Linked DNA regions of Pelodiscus sinensis. The protein of the gene in region 3 interacts with the protein of the main gene of each other region in a biochemical or structural test. Links are inferred from orthologs where the notes say so. Each region holds a gene or a part of one and is shown on either strand. Other genes may lie near its edges. The genes, in order: DAB2, TAX1BP1 and MYO6.

What was found.
Region 1: the proteins of MYO6 (region 3) and DAB2 form a complex in vitro, tested with the Homo sapiens proteins (7 studies listed by BioGRID). The link is inferred for Pelodiscus sinensis from reciprocal best matches to the Homo sapiens genes MYO6 and DAB2.
Region 2: the proteins of MYO6 (region 3) and TAX1BP1 form a complex in vitro, tested with the Homo sapiens proteins (5 studies listed by BioGRID, with this or other methods). The link is inferred for Pelodiscus sinensis from reciprocal best matches to the Homo sapiens genes MYO6 and TAX1BP1.

The regions. Positions count from the first base shown.
Region 1 is NC_134716.1:103,838,088-103,845,836, reverse strand, and holds the start of DAB2 (disabled homolog 2), read right to left. Parts: upstream 3,068-7,749; 5' UTR 2,886-3,067; intron 1-2,885. UniProt on the Homo sapiens protein: Adapter protein that functions as a clathrin-associated sorting protein (CLASP) required for clathrin-mediated endocytosis of selected cargo proteins.
Region 2 is NC_134712.1:196,219,435-196,226,742, forward strand, and holds the start of TAX1BP1 (tax1-binding protein 1), read right to left. Parts: upstream 3,068-7,308; 5' UTR 2,929-3,067; intron 1-2,928. Other genes in the region: HIBADH (3-hydroxyisobutyrate dehydrogenase, mitochondrial), read left to right, coding at 3,268-3,349.
Region 3 is NC_134713.1:57,955,698-57,963,665, forward strand, and holds the start of MYO6 (unconventional myosin-VI), read right to left. Parts: upstream 3,014-7,968; 5' UTR 2,864-3,013; intron 1-2,863. UniProt on the Homo sapiens protein: Myosins are actin-based motor molecules with ATPase activity. Unconventional myosins serve in intracellular movements. Myosin 6 is a reverse-direction motor protein that moves towards the minus-end of actin filaments.

The DNA.
Region 1 (7,749 bases), on a different chromosome or scaffold from region 3:
ATATGACAGCACTTCTAAAGAGCAATGACAGTGCAGGAGTTTAACTACTAAAATGCACATCAATTGAAGTCTATTCTATTGGCTCACTGCTGGGGAGCATGTTCACAGGATCTCACCTGCAGGCCGTGTGTTGAGCCCTGTATAAACCCAAGCTGCATAGCAGGCCACAAACAAATGGCCCATGGGCCACATGCAGCCCACAGGCTGTGTCTTGAGTAGCCCGGTTCTACACAACAGTATTATGTCAGAATAATGGATATCCTTCTGAAATAACATATTGCACACCTACACAGCAAGCCTATTATTTTGAAATAACAGGCTTCTTACTCCAACTTCTGTAAATCCCATTCTGAGGAGGAAGGGAAGTCAGAGGAAAGTGCTCTATTTTGAGGTACTGTGTAGTTGTACCCAAATTTGAAATAAGCTATTTTGACGAGAGATGCTAACTGTGTAGCTCAAGTTACATAGCTTAGTTCGAGTTGAGCCCTGTTCTGTAGATCTACCCCTAGAGACTTGAAGAGGTTGGAGTAAATGCCTCAGTCAATTAAGGCTTTTGTTTCTGTGGCTCACCTATCTATAGCGTAAACACCTTTGGGAGCTCTCCATTTTACTGTTTATGTTGGTTCCATTTCAAAGTTAGGAATATCAATCATGCTTAAAACCCAAACTTAAGCAATTTTGCCATTTCAGAAGTACATACAAAGGTCAAGAGCCATTTTGGTTTTGCAGAGCAGTAGGAGCTGCTCTACACATTCAACCCCCACATGCTTTGAGATGTAGTATCACTTTATTAGGGGATTCTCCCTAATTGTGAAATCAGTTACTGCCCTTGGAACTATTTTGAGGATCAGTTCTAAGAAATCTGATTACATTCCTTCCAATCCCCTTCCCTGCTCCTAGGCCAATGATTAAAAGTTTCCTCCAGAACCAAGTCTGAAATCAGACCTTTAGCTTCTGTGAATGAATAAGCTATTTTCCCCTCCTAACAATGAGGAACAGCAGAAATAACACCTAAGAGCTGAAAGGTAGGTTTACCATCCCAGAATGTGCATTTCTTAGGGTTAGTAGACACATGTACTAGTACCCATCAGAATGATGGCACAGGTACCTTTAAGGTTTTTCTTTTCAATAAAAAAGTGTAGAAGGAAAATATTCCTTCTACTGTGTCTCTGCCCACCCCTAAAGTGTGGGCAGATGAGCACATGCCTAAATAAGAGACAATCTCTCACTAGATGCAACTTAGCATTTCAGGGGTTTGCACAAATTCTTATTCATCTTGATTCAAGCTTCTTCAGTGCATCAGTCTCAGGTGTTTTCTGTGCTGAGACCACTTTTCCATACCTAGTTACCTGTGGAAGCCACCAGCAATGAAGGGGATCAAGATTCATAGCTTTAAGGTTTAGTGTGTAGCCTCCTCCCAAGGGTCATTGTGCCCTTAGAAAGGTATTTCTCTTGATTGGCCACCCTTTCACTGGATGACAAGTTGTTTCCTAGCTTGTTTAGCTAATTGAGTACACTGCTGGGTTTTTTAACTCTAAAAATGTGTTGTGCATTGGAGAAAGTTTACCCCAAGCTGCCTAGTAAATTCTACTGTGAGCAAATAGATTTAGGACACAACCTTGAACACTGATAAGACCCTACTTGAGTGTCACCATGATGATCTGACCACTGAGACATCTATTTCTCCTGCAACCAACCTCCAGGTTGAAAAGAGGAGCTCCCTTTCACTAGGCAGAGCTTTTTTACTACACCACCTCTCACTTTTGCCTGTAGGCTTCCTTCCCCACCTCCCATCACTCCTGAGTGTCACCTATTTGCCCCAGTTGCAAACACATTAGAAAGCCAACAGACAAACTGCTCTGGCCAAAATGCTTCTTAGGCCTTTCCTCCCTCCACACACTATTAACAATGAGTGACTAGATTCTCAGAGAAACTATTTCTAGAGCAACAGAAGGGGTTTACTATCTATATAGCAATGTAAATAATCTGCTTGTCTTCATCCCCGCCTTTCCATAGAAAGTGCTTGTTTGTTTAGCTTTGAGTTCTTGGCTTCTTTAGTCAAGAGGCCTTTTCAGGCTCCTGGAGGCAGGATGCAGACGTTTCCACCCAATTTTAAGCTAGAACATTTTATGAGTAGTGTCATGCTACTGACTAGCATTACTATTCCCTCCCCCATATCTATGGGACACTAGTCCTGGGCTATGAAAGCCGTTACAGTCACAGCTGGCTCCAGAGATTTAACCCATTCAGTCTCTCCCACCCTAGCACTTCCAAAATTGGGAGCTTCACGCTTTAAGGGATTTAGCACCCCCTGGGGCGTCTGCCTTCGGCAGAGCCTTTTACTTCGGCGTGTTGCCACAATACCACCCACCCCACGAGCTCGTGTCAATTAGCCGCCCTGGAAGAGTTATCGTGGTACTCGACACCAGCGGCTTTTTCCTAAAAGCACAAACGAATACCAGCTGGTAGGCGATTAGTCTGCTCACGTTCGCAGAGGTCGCCTTCCCCGGGCCACCTTAGCCCCCTCCGAAGCGGGGCAGAGTCTCGCAGAAGACGCTAGTGAGGCCGGGGGGGGGGGGGGTAGAACCCTCCCAGAACACTCCCCAGACATTGAGAAGACGGGTCGCCGAAGAGAAGGCTGCAGCGTCCGGCTCAGAGGCAGGAATCAAAGCAACCCCAGGGAACGACTAAATTTCACAATCGAGAACCGGCTGGGGGTTGCTGACTGAAGAAATGCGTCTGAACGCAGCCTGCGCCAGAGTCACCCTGCCCTACAGACCCCAGGAAACGTTACAATAAGCTCCCCCCCTCTACTTTGCTCCCCTCCATTTAAAAAAAAAAAAATCGGAGGAAAATCCACCTCCCTCTTGGAAAAAACTACTTACAGACTAGCTCCGAGCTACTCCTGCGTAATCCTCGGGCGGCAGCCGGCAGACTAGCTGACACCGTGGGCCCGGCTAAATATTCAGTTGTATTCCAGCCTTCAGCTGAGCTAGCCACTCACAGCGAGAGATATGGTTTTAATCAGATGCTGGCAGCTGAGGACTACCCAGGAATGTGCTGTGATGATTTTGCTGTTTGGGCTTGGCTACTCCCCCTCAACGTGTCGGTGCTTCCAAACTTAACCCTTTGCACGCCAGGGCTGAAGGGAATCAGAGCTGCTGCGCTCTTATGCAATAATGAGCCCTACAGGAGAGAGAGGAGAGAATGACACGAAAGGGGAGATTTTTAAACCCACGACAGGAAAGTCAGAGGTTTCTTAAATTAGATATGTGTCGTACAAAAATCAGAGGGAATTCACAAGGAATGGGGGGCGGGGGACTGAAGGTCTGTAGCTCACAATATGTGTAATATGTGTATAGAAAACATTTCAAGGATCTGGCAATGGAGAGGGGATCCAAAGGCTGGTCCCAGTGTGTATATGTTTACATTGATTTGTTTTATGTAAAAATCTCGATGTGGATATGAATGTTGGTATTTTCTAACTGGCTGAACCAGAATCCTGGGTCAAAGCATTTTCAGTTTTTGGGTTGCTGGTAGATTGTATCCAGCTCTTTACTCAGAGATCTTTATAAGGATCTTTACTCGAAACATCTATTCTCTTTTTGTCTTCCATTATTGGAACCTGTCATCCCTCCCCTCCCGCACCCAATTACAATGTAGATTAGGAAATTTTACTTGAGGAAGGTGTGTTTTACAAGGCCATGCAGTGCCTCTTACTACATTACTGAACATCGCTGTGTTGTGTGTCGAGGGGTGTTTTAAAACAGATTAAAATAACATGCTCTATAATTTATGCTCTCCACCTAACCCTGCATACAAAACCACCACGGTAAGTGACAGACTGCTGAGAATTGGCCCATGCCTAGAATAACAAGGGTGCTAGATATCGGGTGATGACAGAGGTGCATTAACACAGCTGTGCCTGCACTGCCCTTGATTCTAAGTGGTGCTTTCAGTCCTTCACTTCAGAAGCACATTCTCCCCTGAAGGGAAAAAATCCTTTATATCCCAGCCTGGCAGACACTTAAGTGCATCCAGTCCCTTGCTACAAATGACATGCTTCTTGTTATGCCTGTATGTGAAAATGTTTGCAGGATTGGGACCTTGATGATCTTTTACATGATTACATCTGAGATTAGTCATGTTTATTTGTTCAGCACCTAACTCTAAGGGGCTCTAATCAAAATCAGGATCTGGGCTTTTGTGTCCCTCTGCAATCTGTATTTTAAATACTAACAATAATAACTTGTTCAAAATACTGTAGAAAAAGTAGGTAACTGATCCACATAATAGAGGCACTTTGAGGTAGGTTTTCTTCCTAATAAATAAGGAGACACTTAGGATTCACTTTCATAAAGTAGCTCACCACACTTACAGGATTAGAATTTATGTCTTTGCAGGATGCAACCCACAACACAGTCCTCTTTCCCCCCACAATGTAGTTGTGAAGTACATATACACTATTTATTATAGTACCAAAAGAGACCCCACTACATAGCTGATGTTTTATCAGAAGTACTGCACCATAGGGTTTAATGTAGAAATGCCACAAGATGTTTAGTTTTTAACTGGCAAGCATGGTGTCTAATAATCTAATGATAACACTGTTATGGCTAACTGAGGGGAGAAGGGGGGAACCTGAAGCTGACTTCAAAGAATAAAAAATTTCTTAACCTAGTGTATTATCTTTTTTTTTCATATGGCTCAAAATGAACCCCCTGATGTTTCATACTTTTGCGTTAAAAGCTAGAATTTTGGAATGTTATATTAAACATATCTAATGGAAGTATTTTTATGTAGAGGAGGAATCTGGCAGCAACTCTGACTGAAATACAACTATTTCATCTATATGCACTATGGGATTTTTATGGCAATCTTCATATTTCATATTTTATAAAAAAAAATCGTATTTCAAAGTGGATTTGTAAAAACAGATGAATTTGACAATACCAATTGCAATGTTAAACCCAACTATTCAAGTATTTCCAGAAGAGGGAGTGCTGAATTTTGCAGGATGGTGATTTTTTAAATATTTATTGTGTTAAATGTCTCTGCTATTGGCATAGCTTCAATGCCCTGCCCAAAGTGCTGGTTTTTTTAATTAACTTTTTGTTTTACAGAACAGTATCAGTCTAGGTGCCTCACAGATGCAAATATTTTTCAGTAGGTCTAAAATTATCTTGTAGTTACAGCTGGAAAGTCTCACCACTGCTAGTTTTTCCATTGCTTTTCTGGATGCTAACTTTGTCTAAGCCACAGCCTGTTCTACTCATTGGGATTTCAGTTTATATGGGAGAGAGGGAAGCAGGATTAAATAAAAACACTGAAAAGTAGATTCCTTTTCAAGTCACCAGTGTAAGCTTTGGAAACATGAATGCTTTGAAAATGGTGTCAGTAACAGTTTGCAAAAAACCTGCTTATAGCAAGGCAAAGTGTTAGCTAATCCCGCAGTGGCTTGCTCAAGAATGCATAGTTTATTATAAAAATAATCTTTTAAGATTTTATTGGAATGTGCTTCCACAGCGGTGTTGCTGCCTTTCTGGGCTTTACTATGTGTGTCATCTTGTCCATAATTAAACTTTTCACTCACAGATTTGGGACTTTTTTTTTTTTTTTTTTTTTTAAGAAAACCTCCTACTTTGAGTGCTGGAATTTCATTTGAACTTTAAATAGCACGTTGGAATTTGCCATAAGGTAAACTATCTGCTCCTGGATTCCTCACTTCTCCACTACAGATGTTACAGCTAGGCAGTAAAAGGTTGAGCTTTACAGAATCAGCAAATTCCTTATATCTCCCTGCAATGTCCTGGCCATTGAAAGGAATGAAATTATTAATCAGATACTGTAGTTAATTATCACGATAGCATTTTCACTTAGTTGAACAATGGAATAGGAATCAGAAAAAATCTGGCTGAAGAGGCGCCTTTCAGTGGAAACTTCATTGATGTAAATTGAGAGATGGCAAAGTATGTCACTAGGAATATAGAGGAAGAATTTGTATTTGAACCTCTGGACTGCTCAGCATCATTCCTCATGTGGATTTGGCCTGCTGGCTCTTTTTTTAAATATAAATTTAGTTAGTTAAAGATAAAATGTCAGTTTTATGTTTGAAACAATCAGCATCCTATTAAATTTAAAATTGCTTTGTTTTTCTCTCAGGCTATTTCAATGCTGGTGAAAAATTCTGGATAGAAACTCTTGAAGAATGAAGTCATCTGTCTTCCAAATAGATCTAGCAGCATCTTAATGTATACTAACACAAGCCCATCAGTAAATTTCAAATCTGACCTGTATAAGTATTACATCTAGAATCATTTGATTCTGGGTCTACTAGCTAGCTAGTGATAAAGGTGATGTAGTTCGTCAGTTCCTTTTAAAATTGGGCAAGATTCAATTCCACCTTAAACCACCCACAGAAAGCAATGCTGCTAGTGGCCTAGGCTGGATTTGTGGTTTCCAGATTCGAGCCAAATTCTGCTCTCATTTACATTGGATGGGTAGAAAACCTATTGATGCAAATAGGAGTGCGCTCACAGGAGTGAGACTACATCTAGACTGCAAGCTTCTTTCAGAAGAAGGTTTTCCAGAAGAGATCTTCTGAAAATTCTTCTGAAAGAGAGCATCCACACTGCTAAAGATAGCGTCCACACTGATTGGACGCTATCTCACTATCTGGAACCAGTTCAGCCAGGACTTTAGGTCACCAATTGTTTCCGAGTGCTGGTGCCGAAGTCTAGCTGAGGCATAGTGGGAGGGGACCTACTGCGCCAGGGTCTGCTGCATGTCGCACAGATGCCCACATGCTGCCTCATCAGCTCTTCCTGGACCCTGGAGCATTTTCAGGTCCCCTGGGGTTGGGTGGCTGGCTCGGGTGGCGTGGTTCACCCCTCAGTCCCGGCTGGTTTGGCTGTGGAAAATAAAAAGAGGGAGAGGCAGTCAGTCATCCCTGCAGACATTGTCTCTGAGGCCGTGCCCTCCTCTGTGAGCAGCGACCAACAGTCCTCGGGCCAGAGGATGGGGGATGTCCCGGGACCAAGCAGGCCCTGCCTTACAGGTGCCCCACAGTGCCCAGGGAACCATGCTGCCTGCTTCTCCCCCTCCTCCATGGACAAGCAGGCAAGGGAAGTGTCTGGCCACAGTGGGATCCCATGGGCGGCAGAGAAGCCTGGAGCGGCCTGGCCCTCCCGGGGGCCCACACACACATCTGTACCTTGCAGCGCTGTCTGCTGGAGCGGGTGGTGCCTTGCACATGCAGGCATGCCCATGTGCTGTGTACAGCACTCCTTGGTGTATGGGGTGGTCCCAGCACCCTTGTGGCTAGCCTGCTTCCAGCCATGGCAGGTGGTAAGAGGGCTCCCCCCTCCAGGGCCAGACGTGTGTGTGGCCTCCCCTGAGCCTGGGAGGAGGAGCTTGGGTGGGCTCAGGGGCTGCCGGCTGTGTCCGTGTGATGCACAATAATGCTGCATGCGGTTCCATGTTCATGGACTGCAGCACAATATCCAGGCCAAGCAACGCTTGCCTCTGCGCCCGCCTCCCCCTCTCTGTGTGTGTGAGACAAACTGAGAGCACTCACCTGAAGATCCTTCCCCAGCGTCAGATGATGCCTGTGACACGTCCAGACTCACAGCAATCAGCTCCAGGGACAGCGTCACAGTGGCCGTGTCGTCCTCCTCCTCCTGTCCCTGATATCAGTCTTCCTCCTCCTCCTCTGCACGGAGTCCGCACTAGCAGACATTTAAAAATGGT
Region 2 (7,308 bases), on a different chromosome or scaffold from region 3:
CGGTCTGGTAGTCAGGGATTCACAGCCCGCCATCGGTCCATGGATCAGTGGTTGGGAACCACTGCCTTGGGCAATCCCTACCTGTTCTGACATCATGCAGCATCCCAGAAGTGGCCAGCAGCAGGTCCAGCTCTTAGGCAGTAAGGCCACAGGGCTCCCCATGCTGTCCCTACACTGAAATTGACTAGAAACCAGCCAATAGGAGCTGGGGCAGGCCAGTGCCTGCAGGTAAGAGTTGTGCGTAGCTGCTTGCATGCCTCCACCTAGGAGCTGGACCTGTTGCTGGCTGCTTCTGGGGCACTGTATGGTCAATGGTGCCAAGATAAGCAGGAAGCCTGCCTTTGAACCTCTGCTAACTAAAGGCTATGGGAGGTAAGCCCATTACCCAACCCTGTGCCCCAATCCCCTGCCCCAGCCCTGACCCCCCCAACCCATAATCTCCTCCACTCTATATCCCTCATCCACGACTCCATCTCATAGCCTGCATCACCAGCCCTAACCCCATCCTGCACCCAACCTCCTATCCCAGCCCAGAGACCCTCCTGCACCATGAACCCCTCATCCCCAGTCCCGCTTGACAGCCCTCACCCAAGCCCTAAACCCTTTCTTGTACCCCCAAATCCCTTATCCCCAGCTCCGCTGGGTCTCAGGCATCAACAATTTTCTTCAATTGGGTCCCCAGAAAAAAAAGTTTGAAAACCACTGAGTTTATTAAAGCTTTAACTTTATTGCCAAATGACCCTTAGTTCCTATACTGTATAATGCAGGGGTGGGCAATCATTTTTGTAGGGAGGAACACTTCACCAATGTTGTTAGTGGTCATGAGCCAGTCCCGGAAAGTGTGGGACCTCAGCTGGAAGGGACAGCTCCCTCTAAGCACCATGTGGGGGAGGAGGGTGAGGAGAGGAAGGAGACTTTGCATGCCCCCCCTCCATGGGGCAGGGAAGCACAGGAGGTCTTCTCCCACCCCGCCCCTCCCCCCCACTGTGCTAAGGGCATGCAGCACACAGAGGGAACTGCTAGCCATTTTGAACTGGCAGTTCCCTCTGGTGCCATGTGCCCCAACAGGGGAAGGGTCTTGACTGGCCTGGGGGGTGGGGGCATGGCAGGGTGGGCTGCAGGCCAGATGAAACAGCTTGGTGGGCTGAATCCAGCCCATGGGCCGTATCTTGCCCACCCTGATGTAATGTGACTGATGAAGGGGGCCTCTGATTACTACAGGGAACCAATGTAGGAAAAGATTTTTATCAGCTGTTTTATACACTTCATTAATGGATCTACTAATTCTGCCTTCTGATGGATTTCTACTCAATTAAATTACATTTTAAACAATATTATCTATATTGACTATGACAAGTGGAAAATTACATCTCTCCATCTGCAGAGGCCTATATGTGGAACACAATATGAAATAAAATGAAGAAGTAAAAGGAAAAGTCACAGTTCACTGGCCTGGCTACACCTTTGACTTCTTTCTGCCCTTTCCAAGTACACCCCTCTCAGGCTTTAGCTCTTATACACCTCATCCCTTTACCTACCCTGGGATGAAAACAGACTCCCATGATTCTCCCATTCTTAGAACCAGTCCCTGGGCAACAGTACCCTGTGTGCCAATTGTGATTCCTCAGCAGGTCTAGCTAGGCAATATGAAACTCTTCCCCTCAGGTGTGGTCACCAGTTGTAAAAACAACAACAGAACAGCCTTTTCAAAACAAAATATTTTAAAGTTCAACAGTAAGAACAAAACATGAGAAAAGGGACTATTTATCTGTACATATAAGATCTAGTCCTTCATATTAATTATAATTATGCTACATGACCCCACCAGCTAAAAGGGAAAAAAAACAATGTGGGCTATGTAATATGTAAGATTTTATGTCCAAGAATACTTGAAAAAATAACTGATATGTTAAAATACATGAAAATACTAGGAGAGGGGTGAATTATAGGGCTATATTAGGGTGGCATTTAGAGAAGCAGGATAACATTTCAAGTGTTTATTTTAGACACCAAACAGTCTAAAGCATTTTCTTGAAGGGGAATATTCAAGCTAAAAGCTGCCACAGCAAGAGAGAAGAAGGGCAGGGAAAAACCTGAGTGCGTAACCCTAATGCGATGCTGCCTGGAGAAAGCATAGACTCTCTGATTAATCACTGGCTGGAGTTATGCAACTACTCTGATCCTCTCCTAAGTACAGAAGGTAGCTTGATCGGAAAAAGGTAAATAAGAGCAATTTGTTCCTGCAGGGTGAAGGAAGGTCCACCAAGAGGGCAAAGGCAGTGAGTTACAGTATACGTGCCTGTGATACTCTGGCACCAGGAATATTCCTGGCCCGGGTCTGGGGTCCGCCAAATTCACTGTCACTGCCTGCCATGCCCTGCATCTCCTGGCATCTTGCTGCCCCACAGGCTCTGTCCATCCCCCAGTGTTTCCATGCCATGTGCTTTTCCAGCAGCTGAGAGCTGGGGCAGCAGCACCTCGAGATCCCTACTTCTTCCAGGAGCCATTGCCAGAGGATGGGTCCCTCGCAGAAGCATGGTATCCCCTAACCCCTCCTCCCACTCCCTCGTGTGCCCCACTCCTTCTAGCCCCTACACTCTTTCCCCCTGCCTGCTTTCCCCCAAAACTCCCTCCCAGACCCAGGAACCCCACCCCCTGCACCAGGCCAGAAGCAGCACCCAGACTCCATCCCGGAGCTTGCACCCCTGAATTCCTCCTGCACCCTAATTCCCTCCCAGAGCCTGTACCCCTTCCCCACCCAAACGGCCTCCCAGAGCCTTAGGCAGGTGGGGGCTTGAGTGAGGTAGGGGCTCTAGGCACCACCAATATTTGTACAAAAATGCTGCTTCTGCCAGAAGGACGGGGCGGGAGGGGGCACCCCACTGGGCAATGAAAATACTGGCAGGGACACAGGGCTACCCCACTCACCTAGGGGAGTAAGCGAAGGCGCCGGCTGCAAGAGGTGCAGGGAGCCTCACCTTGGCCCAGTCCCGCTTGCTCACGAGCGGGCACCACCCCCCCAGACCCGCCCATCCGTGGGCGGTGGAGCAGGCACAGCTGCCTTGTCTGTCATGGGGTTGGAGGCGAACCCGGCAGGTCACTGGCAGGAAGATGGCCCCTCTCATTGGTGTGCGGCTGCCAAGGCCACGCTGTGGTTGGCTACGCTGGCTGCCACTCGTCTTCTTCCCCCGCCCCGTCCACGGTCACAGGCAGAGAGGGCCAGGCGGGGGCGGTGTTTGAGTGGAGGTCACGTTGAGTGGAGGCGGCATGGCAGCGGTGTTACTGCTCAGAGGCTCTGCCAGGCTCCTGCACGCGCACTGGAAGGTGCATGCTGCCGGCACGGCAATGGGTAAGCACCCGCCTCGCCCTCTGCCTGGGGATGCGGGGTGACATTTTCGCAGGGCGAGCTGGGGTTGCAGAGCGTGGTCCCGTTGTGTCCAAAGGCCGGGCCTCCGTCCTGAACCCGCCCGTGGGGTGCTGCTTCCTACCCCCTCGCTAAAATGGCATGTGGGTCAGTCAAGTGACAGCTCTGCCCCACAACTTCTTATCACGGGAAAGCAGGGGCTGTGGGGTGGGTGGTAGTTGGAGGCGCACGGGAGTTGCACGCCGGATTTAACGAGTGCATCAGTGTGCTTGGAGGACTATTTCCCCACCCCTGACAAGCGTCTAATTCCTCAGATGAAACATGCATTGAGGTTTTGAAAGCCCTGATAAATGTGTTTTCTAGCACGCGAGGATTATCACCTGTGTTTTGCACCTTTTACAAGTGTTGTGCACTCTATTAAAGCCATACAGGTTGTAAAATTATATGAGGCTTATATCAATACTTAATGTTATGAGTAGCTTAGTGTAATAAATATTTTACATGTTTATTTAAAATAGCATATGTAGATTTTAAAACAGCCCACAGAAGTTTATGTGAAGCTAGTGAGTTAAAACATGTTCTTCATATCTGTAATCGGTACTCATACTTGTTTGCTTTCTCTCTGATTATATTTCATTATTTTTGAGCCAAAGCTGAACCCAGAAGCACTTTTTAAATATTCAAGGCCTTTATATTACACACATTTATGTCCATACTTCAGTTTACAGACAGGAGGAGTTCAGCTGAGTGTGAAGTAAAACAAGTGTATATGCAGGATTAGTATAACGTTTCCCTTGTCTCCTGCCTTTGCTTTTAAAAGGACTCTGGTGATTTAAGGTCCATATTTTGGTTTGAAATTGTTCTATAGTATGTAATAACAGCTAAGATTGTTATAAGTGAAATAAATGGCAGAATCTTTCTGTGGTTATTTTAGATTTGTTTATTTTCTGCATTTGACACCTTTTTCTGTTTCCCTTGTGTTCAGTTAGTTTTCCCTGTGCTTATTGGGGGTCTTTCACATACTGTAGTATATGGAAAATATAAGTGTATTTTTAAAAAGGGGGAATGTGACTTTAGAACCACAAAATATGCCAGGAGGCTCAGCAAAAGGTGTACTGAAACTACTATATTATTTTTAAGTAAAATTTTAAGCTTAAAAGGCCCTTCATAATTTTATTTTTTTAGATCAATAAAAACAAATGTCTCACTCTCTTAATTTTCTGTGTGTGTGTGTATGTGTACATATACATATTTTTTTCCTGTGGGATGATAGTGACATCATCATGTCACTCTGCATCCTGCCTGCTCCCTCTTCCCTCCCTTTGCCCCCAGCCTCCACACAGAAAGAACAGAGCAGCCCAACTGTGCAGGGACACCCCATGCTGGGGGGGCCCATCCCACAGACCTGCTCGGGCCTGATTCACCCCATTACCCGATCTGTGCCCACCCAGCAAAGCTAGATATCCCAGATCCCACAGAGATGAGATAAGCTCCCAATGCTCTCCCCTCCCTCAAGGGAGAAGAATCAGAGTCCCAGGATCTAGGGATGTAACATCCCAGTTTATCAGTTAAACATTAGGTTAAACATTTAATGGGTTAACAGACTATGCAAGATCTGAACTGGGGCAGTCCCTGCTTGTGCAGCTCCCATCCCTACACTGGGGATGGCTGCTAGCTCCCAACCCCACATGGGAGCTGGGACTGCTGCTGGCTTCCAGCCCCCACTGGAGCAACCTCTGTCCACAGAGGCTTCTCACGGACAGAGGCTGCTCCACAGAAGCAGACCCTGCCTATAGGGCGCCCAGGATGCGGGAGTAGTGCCTACCTGCAGCAGGTCCTCTGAAGCACTGGACCTACTCCCTCCCCCGCACATGGCAGGCGGGGGGGCTGCTCAAGTCCCCACCAATAACCAGTTAACCAGACCGGGTAAGCATCACCTGTTTAGTGTGGTGCCTACTGCCTAAACAACCAACCTTTCACATCCCTAGCACCCGTGCTCTACCGTACCAAATTCATGACCATGAAAAATGCACCAAAGACTGTGAAATCTGGTTCCTCCCCTTCTTCCCCCCCCCCCACCCCCGAAAAAAAAATCTGATCTTGTGTGTGTTATGCATACTATATAGATTTCACGGGGAATCAGATTTCACAGGTGTTTCCCAAATTGGGGACCTGATTTCTAAAGAGAGTAGCAGGGGGAATTACAAGTTTATTTGGGGAGGTTTGTGGTATTGCCACCCTTACTTCTGTTATGCCGTCAGAGCTGAGCAGCTGGAGAGTGGTGGCTGATGACTGAGGGCCAGTTCTCCAAGCAGAAGCACAGTAGTTAGGGTGGCAATAGAATACCATGCCATTCTTATTTCTGTGCTATTGCTGGTGGCAATGCTGCCTTCAGCAGCCATAGATCTCTGGCTCCTGAGATCTGAAGACAGCACCACTGCCAGCAGTAGTGGAGAAGTAAAGGTATCTGTACTGCAACACCCTCTCTGCCCCCTGTGCGCATGCACACACACACATGATAACCTTGCGACCACTGCACATCTCCTTTTTGGGTCAGGACCCCCACAATTACAACGCTATGAGATTTCACCTTTAAATAGCTTAAATAAATAAAGTTACCTTTTTTAAAAATCCAGCGACCATGAAATCGTCGGTATTGCCTTACCTAAGTCACTGTCTATTATGGTTGAACAGGCAATAGAGGGTGGGAAGGCCTGAAATAGGACAAGAAATAGAAGGTTATTGTATAAAGTAGCTTCAGGGGATAGCCGAGTTAGTATGTACAGGATAAACTTAAAAAACAGCAAATGGTCTGGTAGCACTTTATAGACTACATGTTTTGTTAGATGGCATCATGAGCTTTTGTGGGCACAGCCCACTTCTTCATACAGCTCACTACAGGATAAAGTAGCTCAGTCAGAAGCACAGAATTCATTCTTGTGAAATTTCAAGGTCCTAAAATGTTTCATTTCTAAACTGAACCCTCATACTTTATGAAAGGCTGCATCAGTTGACATATTTCCTCTGGGCACAACCTTGTTAACTGCAGTTACGGAAGTACAGAGACAATGTTAAAATTAAAATTATAAAAACCTTTTCTTCCCAGTTGATGCAGATAATGCCCTTGCTGTAAAAAGCTTTTTGCTATCATTTCAGGCCTTTCATGTTCTGAAGGCTATTAAAATTGTTGTGGGGCCCTGTTGGCAAAGGGAGATGTTATTTCAAGCTGCGATGTGTTTGGCAGAATTATTCAAAGGAATTGTGAAAAAACAGCACATTTCTGAGTAGTGTGCTATAAAGGAGACCCTGAAAAACACGTTCTTTTCTCTATTAGGCTATCTGGAGTTCTTTCTTTAAGGAAAAGTTTTCAGCTATCAGCTACCAAAATTTGGTCAGAATTCCTGAGGGAAGCAACAAGATGCTATCTTAGCTCATTCATTGATTCTCCTGTTATTGCTGCATGCAAACATGCAGGACTCTACCACATTCCTCCTCTCTGAACATGCAACACATTATGTGCAAAAACTGACACCTCACTCATACTTGGGAGAAATGATTTTGTGATCTCCAAACTTCATGAGCTGTGTCAACTGAATTGTGCTAGTTTTGGAAATAGAAACTCCTGGAGTGCACTGTTTCCAGGTGGCTCCATAGATTGGCAAATTATAAGCCCTTACTACTAAAAAGAAAACATTGGTTACTTTATAGTAACAATACCATTCACAGCGTTTAATGGATGATTTAAATTCCCAGTCACCACTTTGAACTCCATGCAGTAGGATGGCAGGGGAGGGGAAGTGCCAAGGTGCTGTGATATAATCCAGCAGTAGTGAACACGTTGGTAGCTGGGGCTTATCATAACTTTTGTATTTCTCCTTAGAGCAGTAATTCCTCTTATTATTACAACTATTCTCTGCAAATTGGAGTCATACCTACTGTCCTCT
Region 3 (7,968 bases):
GGGATCCGATGTAAGTCGGATCCATGTAACCCGGGGGCTGCCTGTACTACAAGCTGTCACAAACAAATGTAGCATTTAAAGTAACAGACATGCAAGCACAAAACTACCATAATTCAATATACTATACAAACTTATTCAAGCTATACATCAATTTTTAAAGTACAAATATGTATTATTTCAAGTTGGCCATTTGAAGTTGTTATGGTTTTTTAATCTTTCCATCTTGATTTTTAAAATTTAGCACACTACAGAATGCAAATGCCTTTACAAATATATCAAGCCAGAAACTGCCACTCTGTGGTCAAATATTGTTGCTCTTCAATCAGTGGGCAATAACCCATACAATACACACTGCAGTACATAGGGAAACATGATGAGCAAGCATCTTAGTCTTATTTCTGACCCTTCCTGGTCTTTGCTAGTTTAAAATCACAAGTGCGCCGCTGCATGACATAGAATGGGGAGGAAGCAATACACCAGACTGCTTCACAATATAGTAGAGGGACATATGGAACACAGCGCTTTGTAGTTGAACACAGCTACATTTCTATCACTATTGTAGTTGAATAGGTATTCAAAGTGTTTGCTTCAACTGTTACTCTTAATATACAAATTTTAACTGAGGTGTAAAATTACATCACTACAAAACAATTCATAAGGCTGCAGTTTGACATTACAGACATTGCATTTACTTTCATTATTGATACCTGTATTGTGTTTATTGTCTCAACTTGGACAATGAAATTAAATCAATTAGTTTCACTTTTGTTTACAGTCACATTCTCTTTCTGGATCTTATGCATAGGCCCAGTTTGAACATCGAACACTACAGGAACAAAATTGATTGAAAATATCCAGTGGAAGCTTTAAAGAAAATCATGGAAACATTTATATTATTTTTTATAAAAACCCACTTTATTTCCTTCTGAAAAACTAAACCATAGCAAGAATTTAACCTGAAATTTTCTCTTTACGCACTGTTAATTCGTCATGTTTGCAATAAAGAAAAACTTGACTCAATTCTTAACCTTTGTACTCTGCTCCCTGAAGAATAAGTTCATAAGCCATTTTATGGCTAATAAAGTCAACTGAATTGTCAAGAATTATTAGCTCACTCCAAAGAAAGTTCTTTACCCTGCATGAGTAAGACACTTATTTTAAATGATGACATATACTTACTCTCACCCTTGTCAAAAATACGTGGATTGGTATAGTCTATCAATAGAAGTTACCTAAAAAAATATGTAACAAACATTCTTTTATTTTGTCTATTAATTTAGCCATTTCAAGTTTTTACAAGGATCCGGTAGTATAAGGATTTATTAAAGAATCCATCTGTCAAGCATGTGTAAGCATCTACAATACATCGGATACAATGTGCATTGTAATCCAAGTAATGGTTGATGAACTGTCCAGTCAAAGAACATTTTTGTTTAATTTTCAAGCAGAAAAAAGTTTAGGTGGAGAAACAAAACTTTTTGGGAGTGGAAATTATTTTGGAGCAACAAATTTATCAAACTTGATAAAAAGCTTCAATAGAAAGCATGTTCTTTTGCAGTCCTGAATCCTTATGTTCTTAGACCAGCTGATATAAAACTTCACTTGTCCAGGAGGACAAATCCACACAGAAATATTTAGGCTTTTGAAATAGAGACTACAATAGTTCAACAAACCCAATGTAATTTTAGCATTTTCCTTAGCAACAACTGTCAGATAAAAATAAGACTGATAGAAAAAACCACAAGAAGGAATTTGTGAGTATCAAAATGACATTTTCACTGAGTACAAAAAACACCTTATCTGTATGTATGCAGGATAAGAAAGTTTTCACTGTAATAAGAAAAAAAAAATCACCCTGCTCATAAAAGCCTACTTTCTCCCAGATGAAGCCCTGAGCTCTCCGTTTCAACTGTTTAACTCTTCCAATACATTTAGAAGCACCTGCATCAGGCCTTTACTTTTCAGCTACTGTGTAGGAAGGAGTTTAGGCTGGATCTGTAAATACTCGGGACTCACTCAGGTTCTAGTTGTGCCCTTCTATTTTTCCTTCCCAATTAATTGGTAAACTGTATGTTAAGTTCAAGAAAGGTGTGGGGGACAGGTGAGAGCAACTGCAAGTAACGAACATGCACAGAGAATTAGCTATTCTCCTCCTAACGTTTAACCTCTATAACCTTCCAATGTTAAAGCCTCTCGAGAAAAGTGACAGAGATGCAGCCGTGTAAGTCTGGTCTAGCTAAAAACAAAAGACAGACCTATGTAGCATTTTAAAATCTAACAAGAGTGCTACATAGTTCTGTGTCTAGAAAAGCACTGCCTCTTTATTCACAGCAAGCGTCCTGTCTAAGTTAGTCTGGTGATAAGTATCTTTCCTACAGCTGCTGTGGCTAGACACTTAAGTTGCGGCTACCTAGACAATTCCGGATACAGACTCTCACCACACACACGGTTTGATTTGGAAACTTTTCTAATAATCCACTAACCCCCAAAGTTCCCCGAACCTCCCAGCCTCTTCCGAGCCCTCCGGGTCCGGCTACAGCGTCCCGGGGCTGTTCCCAGCACGCCCCGCCGCCGGGCCGCTTTCAATCGCCTGCCTGGGTAGCCCCTGGCGTCTCGCCCCGCACAGGCGCTGCCCAGCTGCCGCCCCTGCAGGTGCGGGGGCTCAGAGTTACCGAGCGGCCCGCGGGAGCCGGACCCCAGCGCCCGGGGTAGGGCAGGGGTGGGTGCCAGGGGCCCCAGCAGGCCGGGGCGGCCTGAGCGGGCAGAGGAGCCCGAGGGGGTGGGGGCCGGACCGGGGCCGGGCGGGGATCCCGCCCCTGCCCAGGGGAGGCTACCCCAGCCGGCGCCGCGCTGCCCCGCTTACCTGCAGCCGCGCTGCGTCCCCAGCTGATGCCGCCACCCGCGGCCCCTGCGCTGCTGCAGCCCCGCCCCGGAGCCGCGGCCAAGGAGGCGCCGCAGACGTCAGCGCTGGGGCGGGGGAAGCGCGGCCCGGCGCTCCAGTCCCCGGCTGGCCCAGGCCCGCCCGGGCCCGGCACCAGAGCGGCCGCTTTACGCGCGGCTCCAGGCCTTTCCCCCGCCTGCCCTCCGCCGGCCTGTTGTTCCGCGGAGCCCAGGGCCCGGCCTGGTTACCTGCCATCCCTGGGCCCTGTCTGAGAGCCGGGGGGAATGACCCTTCCTGTGCGGCCCGTAGCCCCGGCTCAGCCTGCTCTGTGACCTGGGGTGTCCCAGCCACGTGCACCCACCCTGCTAGGGTTGCCAGATGGTTTCTGCCAAAATACAGGACACACTGGACATGACATCCCAATCTACATTACATCTGATGTAGAAAATACCGGACATTTCTGTTTTCTCAATTTGTTTCCTCAACAGAAAGCTCAAATACTGGCCTGTCTGGTTCAAAACCAGACCCCTGGCAACATTACCTGGTGCGGAGACCCCAGGCTCATCTGCCACAGAAGTGGAAATGGATGCTGGGTTTTGCCGGCGATCAGCAAGTCCCCATCCCTCTCAGGATGTGGGGTAGACATGCCCAAGTCAGCTTAAATTTAGCTGGCTCAAATGATAATACACCAGTGAAGTCTGAGCTCTATGGGCATAGGGTAGGGTCCACTGCTCATAGAACACTAGAACTGGAAGGGACCTCAAGAGGTCATCAAGTCCAGTCCCCTGCCCTGACGGCAGGACCAAACACCCACGCTGAAGCCCATGCAGCTTTGGACTCACTGCTGTCCTTAATCAAGCTAGCTCAATTAGAGCCAGTCTATGTACATCTCCACAAATTACAATCACACTTTCTGTTGCAGTGTAGACTTACTCCCGGATTTCACCACATTAGCTAAGAAATGGTAACCTTTTTTCCTACTGAAAATAAGAGCTCGGCCACTGTTTTCTTCAATTTGCAGTGTTGTTGTAGTGCAGCCGGTGCCAAAATAATAGAGACATTGCCTCCCCCACCTTTTCTCCGGTTTTATCTGTTTAGACCCTCATCCTGTAAAGTCTTAAAATGCTTAATTTTACACATTGTGCATAATGCCCTTGAATTCATTACTCACAGTAAAATAGATTAAGAACATCCATACATTTTTGCAGGGTTTAGCACTTGTCTACACTTGAAAGTCAATTTTCATTAAAGTAGGGTGTGAATTCTAATTCCAATAGTTATTGCTGATTAACTCCATGGCTGTGTCTACATTGGCATGATCTTGTGCAAATACTCTTTAACGCAAGAGTCATTGCATTAAAGAATTTGCGCAAGAGAGCGTCTACACTGACGTGCCTTTGTGCAAGAGATGTGCTTTTGCACAAAAGTATCCGTGCCAGCGTAGACGCTCTCTTGCGCAAGAAAACTCTTATGGCCATTTTAGCCATCGGGCTTTCTTGCTCAAGAAATTCATGTTACCTGTCTACACTGGCCTCTTGCGCAAGAAGAGTTGCGCAAGAGGGCTTATTCCTGAGCAGGAGCATCATAGTTCTTGTGCAAGAAGCATTGATTTTACACATTAGAACGTCAGTGTTCTTGCACAAGAACTCCCCGCCAATGTAGACAGGCAGCATGTTTTTGCGTAAAAGCGGCCACTTTGGCGCATAATCGCGCCAATGTAGACACAGCGTATGTGGATACTTTTTTCTGGAATAAAAGAGCTATATTTATAAAGGCTATGTTTAGCCTTTTTAAATTCTTCAGGGAAGGACTGTCTCTTAGGGTTTGGTCTACACACAGTTTTTATATGGGTATAACTGTCAATTTATGGGTGTTTTCTTAATCTATGTCCTCCCCCTGCTGTGTGGATGTAATTATACCAGTATAAATGTGTTTATACATTTCCATTCCGACATGGGACTAAATTATCGCTATAGCACACTTTTATCAATATAACTGCATTCACACTAGGGATATTGTGCCATGTTAACTTTGCCAATGTAGACTATAGTTAAAGCAGTTCAATTTGTTTTTCTGTAGACAAGGCCTGATTGAATGTATGTACAATGCCCAACACAGTAGGCCTCTGATCTCAGTCTCTAGATACTGTTCTAATGCAAACAACGATTTAAATGATTAAAATTGCACAAGTGAAATACATCATTTGATGTTGGCTATTTATTTCTTTGTTTACCTTTTGCTTTTTACTCAGTTTGGTCATTTAAATTTATCAGACACTTGACTTTGCTGTCAATTTTAATCTATTTCACTTTGATGCTCTGACATTAATACAGGGTTGCAGTATTTAGACTGAAAATATTTCAGTTAAAGTATTGTTTAATCTTTTGTAAAGACTGTACTGAATCTTTTAAAATTATTAGCTTAAAAAAATAAATTTGGGGGCTCCTTGGCTGTGTTCCTTGAATGTGTAAGATTTGTTTTACTACTTTCCATATATGAAGTAATTGAAGTGCTACTTCTTCCTTAATATGTCTGAGAGCTATCCTTTTCTTTCCCTTGCCCAGTCAAATCTCGTATTTGGATTGTCAATATATTCCACTTTGACTCTTAGAACACCCATTTTTCTGAAATCCCTAAAATATATACTGCCCCATATCGTACAAGATGTAACCACTAAAATCATTTTCTTTGCCTTCCCATGTGACCATGTCACACTTCTCTTTGAATGTCTCCCCTGCCTTCCCATATGTTATTGTGTCAGATTTAAACTTCTTTTCTCCACCTTGAAAGTCCTATATAATTCTGCCCCTCCCTGAGTTTCGCGTTGCTTCCTTGCCCTATATTTCACCACCCTTCCCAATTCTGTCCACTCATATATCAGCTTCTCCCACAATAACATGACCGGCCTGAGCTTTTGCTTTAAGCCTGTACATTGTCCTCCCTAAATCTCTCAAAACTCCACTTCTGTTGTGCTGCAGAGTGAATCTAAATAATTTGAATTTAAAAATCTGCCTCCTTCTGCTGATTTCTATATCTTTCGTCCTTGCATTTGGCAAGTTGGAACAATCTTATCTTGAATGTCTGAAAAGCTCTCAGAATGTTGTGAAGTAATTAAATAAATAATTGCAAAGCGATAGTCTTTAAACTGTGTTTTGCCTTGTAAAGCTGATGTTTAGCCATGCCTGCTGGTAGTCCTGTGAGAATTTAAATGAACCTCCACACTTAAGATTTTTCCAAAATAAATGTTCCATTATTATTTATTTATATAGGACCAACACTATCCTAGATACTTTATGGACAATATGAAATGAACATATTTATGATTAAAAGTGCATGCTTAATCATGCAACTTGGGTGGAAAACAGCAGGAGCTAAATCCTGTGTTCTTACTAACATTTCCTCTGTCAATAAAACAAGTTCTAAACAAGTTTTTGTTCTCTTGATCACCACACATGCATGTAAAGTGCCAGTTTCAGTCAGCAACTGCATAATTGGCCTGCCCATACTGCAGTAATTGCAGTTTGAATTGTCAGTTTGACTGAAGTGGTGATGAGCATGGATCACACTCCCTGTCAGTACCCGACCTGGTGCAGGGAAACTAATGATCCAACCAACAGACCAAATTCAGTGATGAATCATGCCACCTAAGGCATATTGTGCATACTCTAAAGAAGAAGCCTCAACTGGCAGGACGAGAGGTTCTACACACCTCTACTTTTCCCCCTGAAACTATATTAGTAATAAATAGCAGCCATGGCTGCTCCATTTTCATGGCAAGTCTAAGCATCAGAAGTGCTGGTGCTGTAATTGTGAAACCTAAAAGTCATAGAGAATTCAACTTTTCACAAGAGGCCAAAGTTGCAAATACGCTCCTCAAAAATCAGTACAGGCAGTCCCCGACTTACGTGGATCCGCACTTACGAACGGGGCTTTTCTCCAGGGGCGAGAAAAGCTTCTCCTGGTCTCCCTGCTCTACTGGGGGGGTCCAGCAAAGTCGCTGGACCCCCCCAGCAGACCAGGGACACCTGAGCAAAGCCGACACCTGGGGGACAGGAGCAAAGCCGCGGAGCGTGCTGCGGCTGTCCCACTGCTGGCGTGCTCCAAGGCTTTGCTCCCCGTCTCCCTGCAGACCAGGGAGACGGAGAGCAAAGCCACGGAGCATGCCCGCAGCGGGACAGCCCGGGCGTGCCGCGGCTGTCCCACTGCTGGCGTGCTCCAAGGCTTTGCTCCCCGTCTCCCTGGAAACCAGGGAGACGGGGAGCAAAGCCGCGGAGCACGCCCGCAGCAGGACAGCCCGGGCGCACTTGAGCTGTCCCCCTGCGGGCGTACTCCGCGTCTTTGCTCCCCGTCTCCCTGGTCTGACCAGCAGACCAGGGAGATGGGGAGCAAAGCCTCGGAGCACGCCAGCAGTGGGACAGCCACGGCGCGCCTGGACTGTCTCGCTGCCCGCGTGCTCTGCGGCTTTGCTCCGGGTCTCCCAGGTCAGCAGACCAGGGAGACGGAGCAAAGCCGTGGAGGACTTGGGCGGTCCCGCCACCCCCGTCTCCCTGGTCTGCTGGGCGGGGGGTGCGGCTAGCACCCCCCCCCAGCAGACCAGGCTTTTCTTGCCTACCTCTGGGGTAGAGCAGCTGGGGGCTGCCAGGTTGGTCCCGCAGTGCCGCTCAGGACCAACCGGGCAGCACCCCAGCTGCTCTGCCCCAGGCGTCCTGATTCAGCCGCTGCTGGTCAGTTTCAGCAGCGGCTGACTTGGGGACGCCTGGGGCAGAGCAGCTGGGGTGCTGCTGGGTTGCTCCAGTAGCGTGGAGGAGCTGCGCTACTGGAGCAACCCAGCAGCACCCCAGCTGCTCTGCCCCAGGCGTCCCCAAGTCAGCTGCTGCTGAAACTGACCAGCGGCTGACTACAGGAAGCCCGAGACAGAGTTGCTCTGCCCCAGGCTTCCTGGAATCAGCCGCTGATCAGTTTCAGCAGCAGCTGACTTGGGGACGCCTGGGTTTCTTAAGTTGAATCTGTATGTAAGTCAGAACTGGCATCCAGATTCAGCCGCGGTTGAAACTGATCAGTTTCAGCAGCGGCTGGCGCCAGTTCCG